Linked DNA regions of Xenopus tropicalis. The protein of the gene in region 2 interacts with the protein of the main gene of each other region in a biochemical or structural test. Links are inferred from orthologs where the notes say so. Each region holds a gene or a part of one and is shown on either strand. Other genes may lie near its edges.

Region 1 (3,654 bases), about 120 Mb from region 2:
ATTTTGCAATTGGCCTTCATTTTTTTTTTTTTTTTTTTATTTGTAGTTTTTTTCTTTTATTTATTTCATTTTCCATTCAGGAGCTCTGCAGTCTGGTGTTTTGGAAGTTATTTGGTTGCTAGGGTCCAAATAACCTTAACCAGGGAGTGATTTGGGGTAAGACCGTTGAATGAATAAGAGGATCTAAATAGTAGGTTACAAGAAGTAACAACCAATAAAATTGTAGCCTCACAGACCAATAGTTTTTTGGCTGTCGGGGTCAGTGACCCCCATTTAAAAACTGCAAAGTTGTAAGAAAGCAAATAAATTGAAACTAATGGAGACCAATTGAAAAGTTGCTTAGAATAAGTCAATCTATAACATACTAAGTTAGCATAAAGGTGAACCACCCCTTTAACTATACGATAGGGAACCTGCCAATGGGACAGACTATTGGGCGAATAGTTAAAACAGCCACATGACTGGACCAAAACTCATCATGGAGCAGATAAGAGCATGGCAGCCTGCAACAAACGGCACAGATCTCACTGGCCATAGGCAGACATGTGAATGGTAATTTCCCAATATCAATAGTACAGACAGACAAATAAAAATACCACTGACAGAAATCTGTGCTCAGTAGGCCACACTCCTGTGTTTAGACGCACTGGGCGGATCCCAAGCATTGCTCTCCCAACCTGTATAAAGGAAAGCTCCGCAGCAGGAGAAGGTGTAAGCACTCGTTTTAAAATTACTACATGCAAACCACTCAGAAGATGTAGTAAACATTAATGGAGGGAGAAGACAAAAGCAGCTCAATCCTGCAACACTGCCTCAAAAACACACACATTTTTGCAGCTAGTTGAATATGGTTACATTTGTGGCAAAAAACAGTGGTTGTAATGAGCATGTAAACTGTTCCTTCTATTTATTTCCACTTTATATTGCCCATAAAGTGGTTTATGAGCATATAAAGCAATAAAACATGTAAAAGGGTATCCAGTCCTATGGATAAGGACAGTCTGCTGCATTGCTTCTAAAGGTTGTAACATATCTCCAGATATCCCCACCTACAGGTGGGCAATATCAGGCTAATCTGGTTATTTGGCATTGGGGCCAAATGACTAAATTAGAACACGGGTATAGGTACAGTCTGTTCCGGGACCGCATCAATGAGCCAATGCGGTCCCCGATCAGACTGAAAAATCAAAACCTGCCCAGTTTCAGACAAGATTGTCTGGCAGGCCTGTTTGTGCCCATACACTGGCAGATAAGCTGCTGAATCGGACTAAAGGACCAATACCAGCAGCTAGAATCTTCCAGTGTATGGCCACCCTAAGCATCCAAACACGGAACCTTCAGCTAAATGCTGGAGCACTGCACTATGAAAGCCTTCGAAATGAGGAACAGATCATCCCAAAAGCAAAGTCTTCACCACCGTACAGATACCACACAAACATCATCCTCTCAAATTCCATTTACCCAAAAAGCTTATTTGCTCCAGCATTTAGTCCAATGAAATCACAACAGCTGTCCATAACATGTCAGTATTAAAATAAGACAACCCTACTGCTGAATGGAGATAATGAACCACCTGTACAGCCTGTTTATAATGGATGTCATTTATGAGGTGCTCCAGAAATTTGTGCCCTACCAAAAACATTGTAAACACGCACTGCACCTAACACAAATTTAGGCCACATTACAACCTGAACAGTAAACAAAACCAAGCACTTTAAAGGACATGTCTTTCACTGGGTGATGCCAAAATGTTTGGTACCCCCCAGTAAAATATGTTGCTACATTTTTTCCCCAGGCTGATGCTCCTGTTAGGAGAGAAACGCATCAGCCTGTGGGGAAAAAAAAGTGAGCTCCCCATCTCCTTACAGCTCTTAGCTCCCTTAGGCATTCTGCACAGTAAAATAAATCTCAAAATGGTATGGGTATACTCATACATGCTGCGCATGTGAGAACAGTAATTTGCACAGGGGATGTCTAGAATACTGTACAACCAGTTTTGAGGGCTTTTAAATACAGCACTTTAGGCAGTCTGGTCCCATAAGGAATGATTCATGAGCATCTGTGCTCCTTGGGCACTGCAACCTACTTTTCAAGTATGCTGAAAAAGGAGAAAAGGGAGCTAGGGCTGGCACGATTATTTAAAAATGCTCAAAAGTGCCTAGTGGCTTCCATTATTTAGACACAGCATTATTGCAAATCAATAGAAAACTGCAGTTAAGTATGAGATGGCATCTCAGACCAATAGAAATACTGCAGTAGCATAGATTTTACAAATGCAGTTGAACTACACACTTGAACTGTGACAAGTATGGAATATTTTGTTGCCATCTGGATGAAGCATATGGAGCTGCGATAATTAGTAAACTTAGCACAGTGGGAAACCAACTTTCATGACAGTAATTTGAATGTTGAGCATGTAAAGCACAGAAGTTCGTGCATCGCCTGATACTACTGAGGTGGCAGGGAATAAATCAAATCCTACTTTTTAAAAATAAAAAAAACAAGGCTTATTCAGTGCCTAAAGCAAGTGTTCAAAATTGCTGACAAGTCACACAAAAAAAGCAAAACAAAACAGTGCAGAAAACATGTTAACCCAATTATAGGCATTTACATTTATTAAACCTGTTATGCAAGCCACCATCTGTTTGGTCTGACAGTGGCCAAGTGAAGCAGTCATTACTGTAGGTGGCGGGACTGCGGATACAGCTCAGCTGCTCCCATATCAAGTGCTTGCGAAGAACGCCACCTAGCAGCCTACTACCAGCACCAAAATATGTGCATTGGTTAAGGCAGCTCAGATATATTGTGAAATCTTACTGTATAGATGCGCAAGAGTGGACCTGGGAGTGAAATTTACCAGTCTCTGCTGTGTGTGTAAACAGGGTTCATGCCAAATAGCAATCCTGAGCCCTTTCTTCTGGAAAAGCACTGTATGTTAACTAACAAAGTCTTCCTCAGTACCGCAGGGTTCCAGATCTAATTCAGCCTCTGCTTCAACTTTCCGGACCTTCGTTGGAGTGCCTGTGAACTAAGGAAAATGAATAATTAGGGTGGGGAAGGTGTCAATGCAGTCAGATGAAGCCCATTAACCTTTAAAGAAAACATTTGATAATATCTGCTCACCCTAAAAAGTTTGTTAGCAACCGTGAAATACATGGTATTTCAAAAACCAATTATAATCCAAAGTAAGCCGAACACCATCCATGTTGTATTATGCTTAGAAGCCCCATGCTGGCATGAAAGAACAAGCAATATTTGCAGATTTTTGCATCTGAAGCCCTTATGACACAGTTCACCCCATTTATCAGCTCCTCTCCACTCATTCCTTTTGCAACTTTAAATCATTTACAAGAGGGAAGTATCTCCAGATACAAAATATCAAATGTGGAGTGAAAATTTAGATTCACACGTGCCCCAGTACAATCCATTTGATAAACTGACCACTCTTTGTACAAAAGAAAAAAAAATGAAATTACTTACTAGGCTGTCTTGTGAGCTTGTTTCCACACAGATCATGTCTTCTTCCGTACTGTGAAGTTAAACAGAAAAGACATGAGGACTACAGCATGACGTATAACCTAAGCCTTCCCATGAAAAACCATACATGCAAGAATAATATCTGCAGTTTACGCAGCTGGCTGATCAAGAGACTAC
Region 2 (4,206 bases):
TGATTTATAAGTTGAAATCTTCAGCTTCTTTCCTCTTCTTCTTGGTAAAGTGTGAAGCTCTCCTCATCTCTTCGACTACAGGGTAGCTTTCTGGGAATGCATAGAGAAGCAGGAGCCAGTGTGCAGCAGCAGCAGATTTCTTCTGTGCCTATACATAACTGTCTGACTTACTGTGCATTTCCAGAATGCTTCTTCTCTGTCAGGCATGCAAAGAAGGCTCTCCTCTTTGACTACCCTATAGTCGAATAGATGAGCAGAGCTGAACAGAAAGAGGGGGCAGGCCTTCACACTGTACCAGGAAGTGACTAAGATATGTTATTCTGGGGGTTGTTTAGAGTAATTTATTTTAAAGATAGAAAAAAAAGGTTTACTCCTTCTTTAAGGGGCACCCAAGGAGACATTCTTCCCACCTACATACTCCCTCTTATATTGCGGGTGCAAGCTTTGATTACCAGCATATAACAGGTGCAAATTTTTTCACCCCCTTATTGAATGTGCAAAAGTTTGAACATGATAGCAGTGGGTGCAGATAAGCCATGGTAAAGATGCAGAACAGGCAGTTACATTGCACTTTGCGCCTACTGGACTCAAGGTTTATAGGCTATGCCCAAAATACTGTATATCTCATATGAAAAATGTATAATATAACCCATATGTGTAACATGGTTTTGATGCAATATGTTGTAAAAGCATACTTCCGACATCCAGTAAGTAGGCCAGTCATACCTCCAATAGGAGACGTGTGATGTTATGTTGTCTTTGTGTGCTTTGTCTTCCTGTGGCCAAAAGTGTCTGTGTCCTGATCTGATTTTGATCCAGCGATGTGGTGTCTGGGGCTGAATCAACTTCAAGAAAAGGAAAGTTGAATGAGATTTAGGCATATAAACTAAAGAAAAAAGCACACCAAAAGAGAATATGGCACAGAAAATTCTGTAGAATGAAGAAAAAATGCTGTTGATCTTGCCATTTAATTTACACTCAGAAGACCAAGCTTAAAATTAATGAATTTCACATATTAGCTAGCGACATGATAGATTTTCTAAGAAATATGCATGCCTGGCTTAGAGTTGTAAGAATCTTATAATATGAAATCAAGGTGACGTCTTTTTGAGCAATAGTTAACTAAAGTCAAACTTATTATAACTAACAGCTAAAAGTGAATCACACTCCGCATGGGTGTGTGGCAAAGGTGGATTACCAATAATGTAAGTGTGAAGACAAGACGACTCACCAGGAGGAATGTAGCGGTCTCCTAAGCAGCCCTCCCAGGCACTGTCGTTATCATCATCTGAGTCCGACAAAGATTGCACCAGGTGTAAGCTAGCAGGACCCCCTCCCTGCACTAATCGCACTTGTCCCCTAAGATGGAAAAGGACACCAACTCTCAGGACAGACATACCTCACACACAAGGGATGGGAAAGAACTAGGGTTCAGTGGGGAAGCAAGTTTGAGGGCAGTGGTTTACAAGCTCTGGGTATGTTTACATGCAGTATTGACATGTGGGTAGTAGAGGTAGTGTGCACAATAGCTCAAAGTTTTGCAAATCTGCTCAAGAATAATTTAGGAGAAATCTTGAAGGGCTGCAAGTAGGTAATTAAAATGAAGAATTCTCTAGGGCAGAGGTTGATGACCAGAATTGTTTGAACCCAGAAAGTAAGAATATGCTCATGTGGGCCATCTATAATTTTCGGCAGGCTCTCAGATATAAATAAACCTCTGATAGAAATTATAACTGATAGAATAGACTGTGATATACTGTAAAAGACTGCAGTGTTTACAGTATGTGCTGTACAGGCACATAAAGAACTTTATATTTGACCCTTCAGCACAGAGTAGCTGCTGGCTGCCCTATGTGCATATGTAAGAACTTTATGGTGCTAGTACTTGACTTGACGTTACAAGTAAAAGGGCTGTAGCATTATCACAGTAAGAAGAATGAGGTGAGAGGCCACTGCACTGGGCAAAAAAAACAAAAAACCCCAATGTTTCATGACTTAGTGGTGTCTCCATTTTCACTCATCCCCATGTAACTCAGTATTGGTGGCTTCGTATTGATTGAAAATGCTAAAATAACTCTGCACTGATTTGCTCCTTGCTCCTTGATTATTTTTTCAATTTAACAAAACATAAGCAACACATTTGAACCCAACTGCTGGATGTATAAAGTATCATGCCATGACACTGGCAACTACCTACAAATGATCTAAAATAATGTAACAGAGACACTATTTAACCCTTTCTGTTGCACAGGTTTTTGATCTAACCGTGTTGCATGTTGCCAGTAAACACCTTGCACCCTTCAAATAGAAACAACAAAAATGTAGAATCTTTGGGGCCAGCATGATGGAACTTTCGTGACGAAGCAGTAGATTCTATGATGATTCTATGATGGGTGACAGGTAAAGGATTAAAACAACTTTAAGGTTAAAAACAACTTTTCTGGTAATGACCATGCTACATATTCCACCTCTCTGCAGTATAATTCTATTCTGCTTTACAGTATGATGCCTAGTCTATATGACCACCTAGTGGCTATTATACAATACTGCTGAGCTAAAAGATTCCAGAAGTATTTAATTTATTGTCTGTCTCATTATCTATTAAAGCCCTTACCTGTCTATAAAAGAACCCTAAAACTGAACACTGAGCAATGTGCGCCATAAGTAAGATCCTACCTTCGCTTCAGTGTTTGCTAAGAATATAGTTGGACAAGTTTATGGAGGACATGTCAGGGGTCTTGTTACCTGCGCAGAAGATACGCCAGTACCTGCGCCAGGTCAACGTTCTCCTCATCATCATCATTCTGAAGACCACGTGACTCTAGGTTGTTTTGGGAGTCTTCTGGAGAATCTCCCGGAGTTTCCCCACCTCCTGCACTGCTACTACTTCGTGTTCCCATACTCCATCACTGCAATATACAGTAAACAAAATATCAGTAAAAAAAACACACGGACAAGAACATTGTTAATGCGCATGCCCAGGCTGCAACGTCATCGAACGCGTTTAAATCCCCGCCCACATGCGATCCTGCAGGCCCAGCTGTGCCCAAAGCCCAGTTTCCAAAGCCATTTCTGTGTGCCTTTGTTTGGATTTTCTTCCAACCTCCAAGAAAAGCCCTAAGAGAAATAAAATCTACAATTCCAGATACACAGAATGAGGTAGCCAGTACGGAAAAAAAACATTCAAATGTGGGAACTTTATTAGTAAGGGATGCGTTGGCAAGGTGACGTGCCTGCAGGGCAGAAGCCCCGCCCCTTCCAAACTCAGCTTGGGTTGCAGTGCTGTAGAGCTCTGCTGTGTTCGCACAGTGCTAGGGAATAGACAATTTACAGCTAAATAGTCAACGCCGTCCGGTACTCGTAACAATTGCTATTGTGGTGAGGGGCAGCTAAGGGCTGAACCCAGGGCGGTATGTTGTTATGGAGCCGATGCATACATTTCTTCTCTTTGCTCCTAGACTTCTTCCAGATGACAGTTCCCTGCAGGGCCGCTGCTGGCCAAATGGGTGCCCTAAGCAGAAATGTACTTTTGTGCCCCCTCCCCCAAATATTACAGAAGTAAAAAAAAAATAATAAAAAAAACCACCTACTATAGGGGCCCCACACACAGTGCCCCCAATATCCCCCATAGACAATGCCCCCATAGTAAGTGCCCCCAATAGCCCCCATAGACAATGCCCCTATAGTATGTGCCCCCAATAGCCCCCACAGTAAGTGCCCCCAATTGCCCCCATAGATTGATTGAACTATCCGGGACAGCAGGATGCGCTATAAAAACCGGACAGTGTTGGGGGGTATGTTATATAAAAATGATTTTTTTGAGCAGCTGGGATGGTGCCCCCCTGGGAGTTGGTGCCCTATGCAGACTGCATACTCTGCTTATAGGGAGCAGCAGCCCTGGTTCCCTGACTGGCGTTTGCAAATCTGTAAGGCAAAGACCATAGGAATGGCGACAAAATAAAATAAAGTTTATCGTTGACTGTATGCATCTGCTTTTTGTAATGTACCCCTGTGGGCTGGGCTAATGGGTGTGAGACTGACAGGATATTCAAACACACCGTGAATACCTTTGTGGTAAAAGTGTGCATGGGCAAAACTCTTTCAGTTATGTAAAAGTTGAGAAGTAGGCACATCACTGGAACACAGTCTCTTTATAACTCTGCAAAAGAACAGGCCTTGAATGTGAAGAAGGATACAGTACAACAC

What was found.
Region 1: the proteins of dcaf11 (region 2) and slbp form a complex in vitro, tested with the Homo sapiens proteins (2 studies listed by BioGRID, with this or other methods). The link is inferred for Xenopus tropicalis from reciprocal best matches to the Homo sapiens genes DCAF11 and SLBP.

Annotation. Positions count from the first base shown.
Region 1 is NC_030677.2:20,337,127-20,340,780, forward strand, and holds the end of slbp (histone RNA hairpin-binding protein), read right to left. Parts: intron 3,530-3,654; coding exon 3,481-3,529; intron 3,029-3,480; coding exon 2,936-3,028; 3' UTR 22-2,935; downstream 1-21. UniProt on the Homo sapiens protein: RNA-binding protein involved in the histone pre-mRNA processing.
Region 2 is NC_030677.2:139,470,350-139,474,555, forward strand, and holds the start of dcaf11 (DDB1- and CUL4-associated factor 11), read right to left. Parts: upstream 2,913-4,206; 5' UTR 2,901-2,912; coding exon 2,746-2,900; intron 1,360-2,745; coding exon 1,232-1,359; intron 846-1,231; coding exon 727-845; intron 1-726. UniProt on the Homo sapiens protein: May function as a substrate receptor for CUL4-DDB1 E3 ubiquitin-protein ligase complex.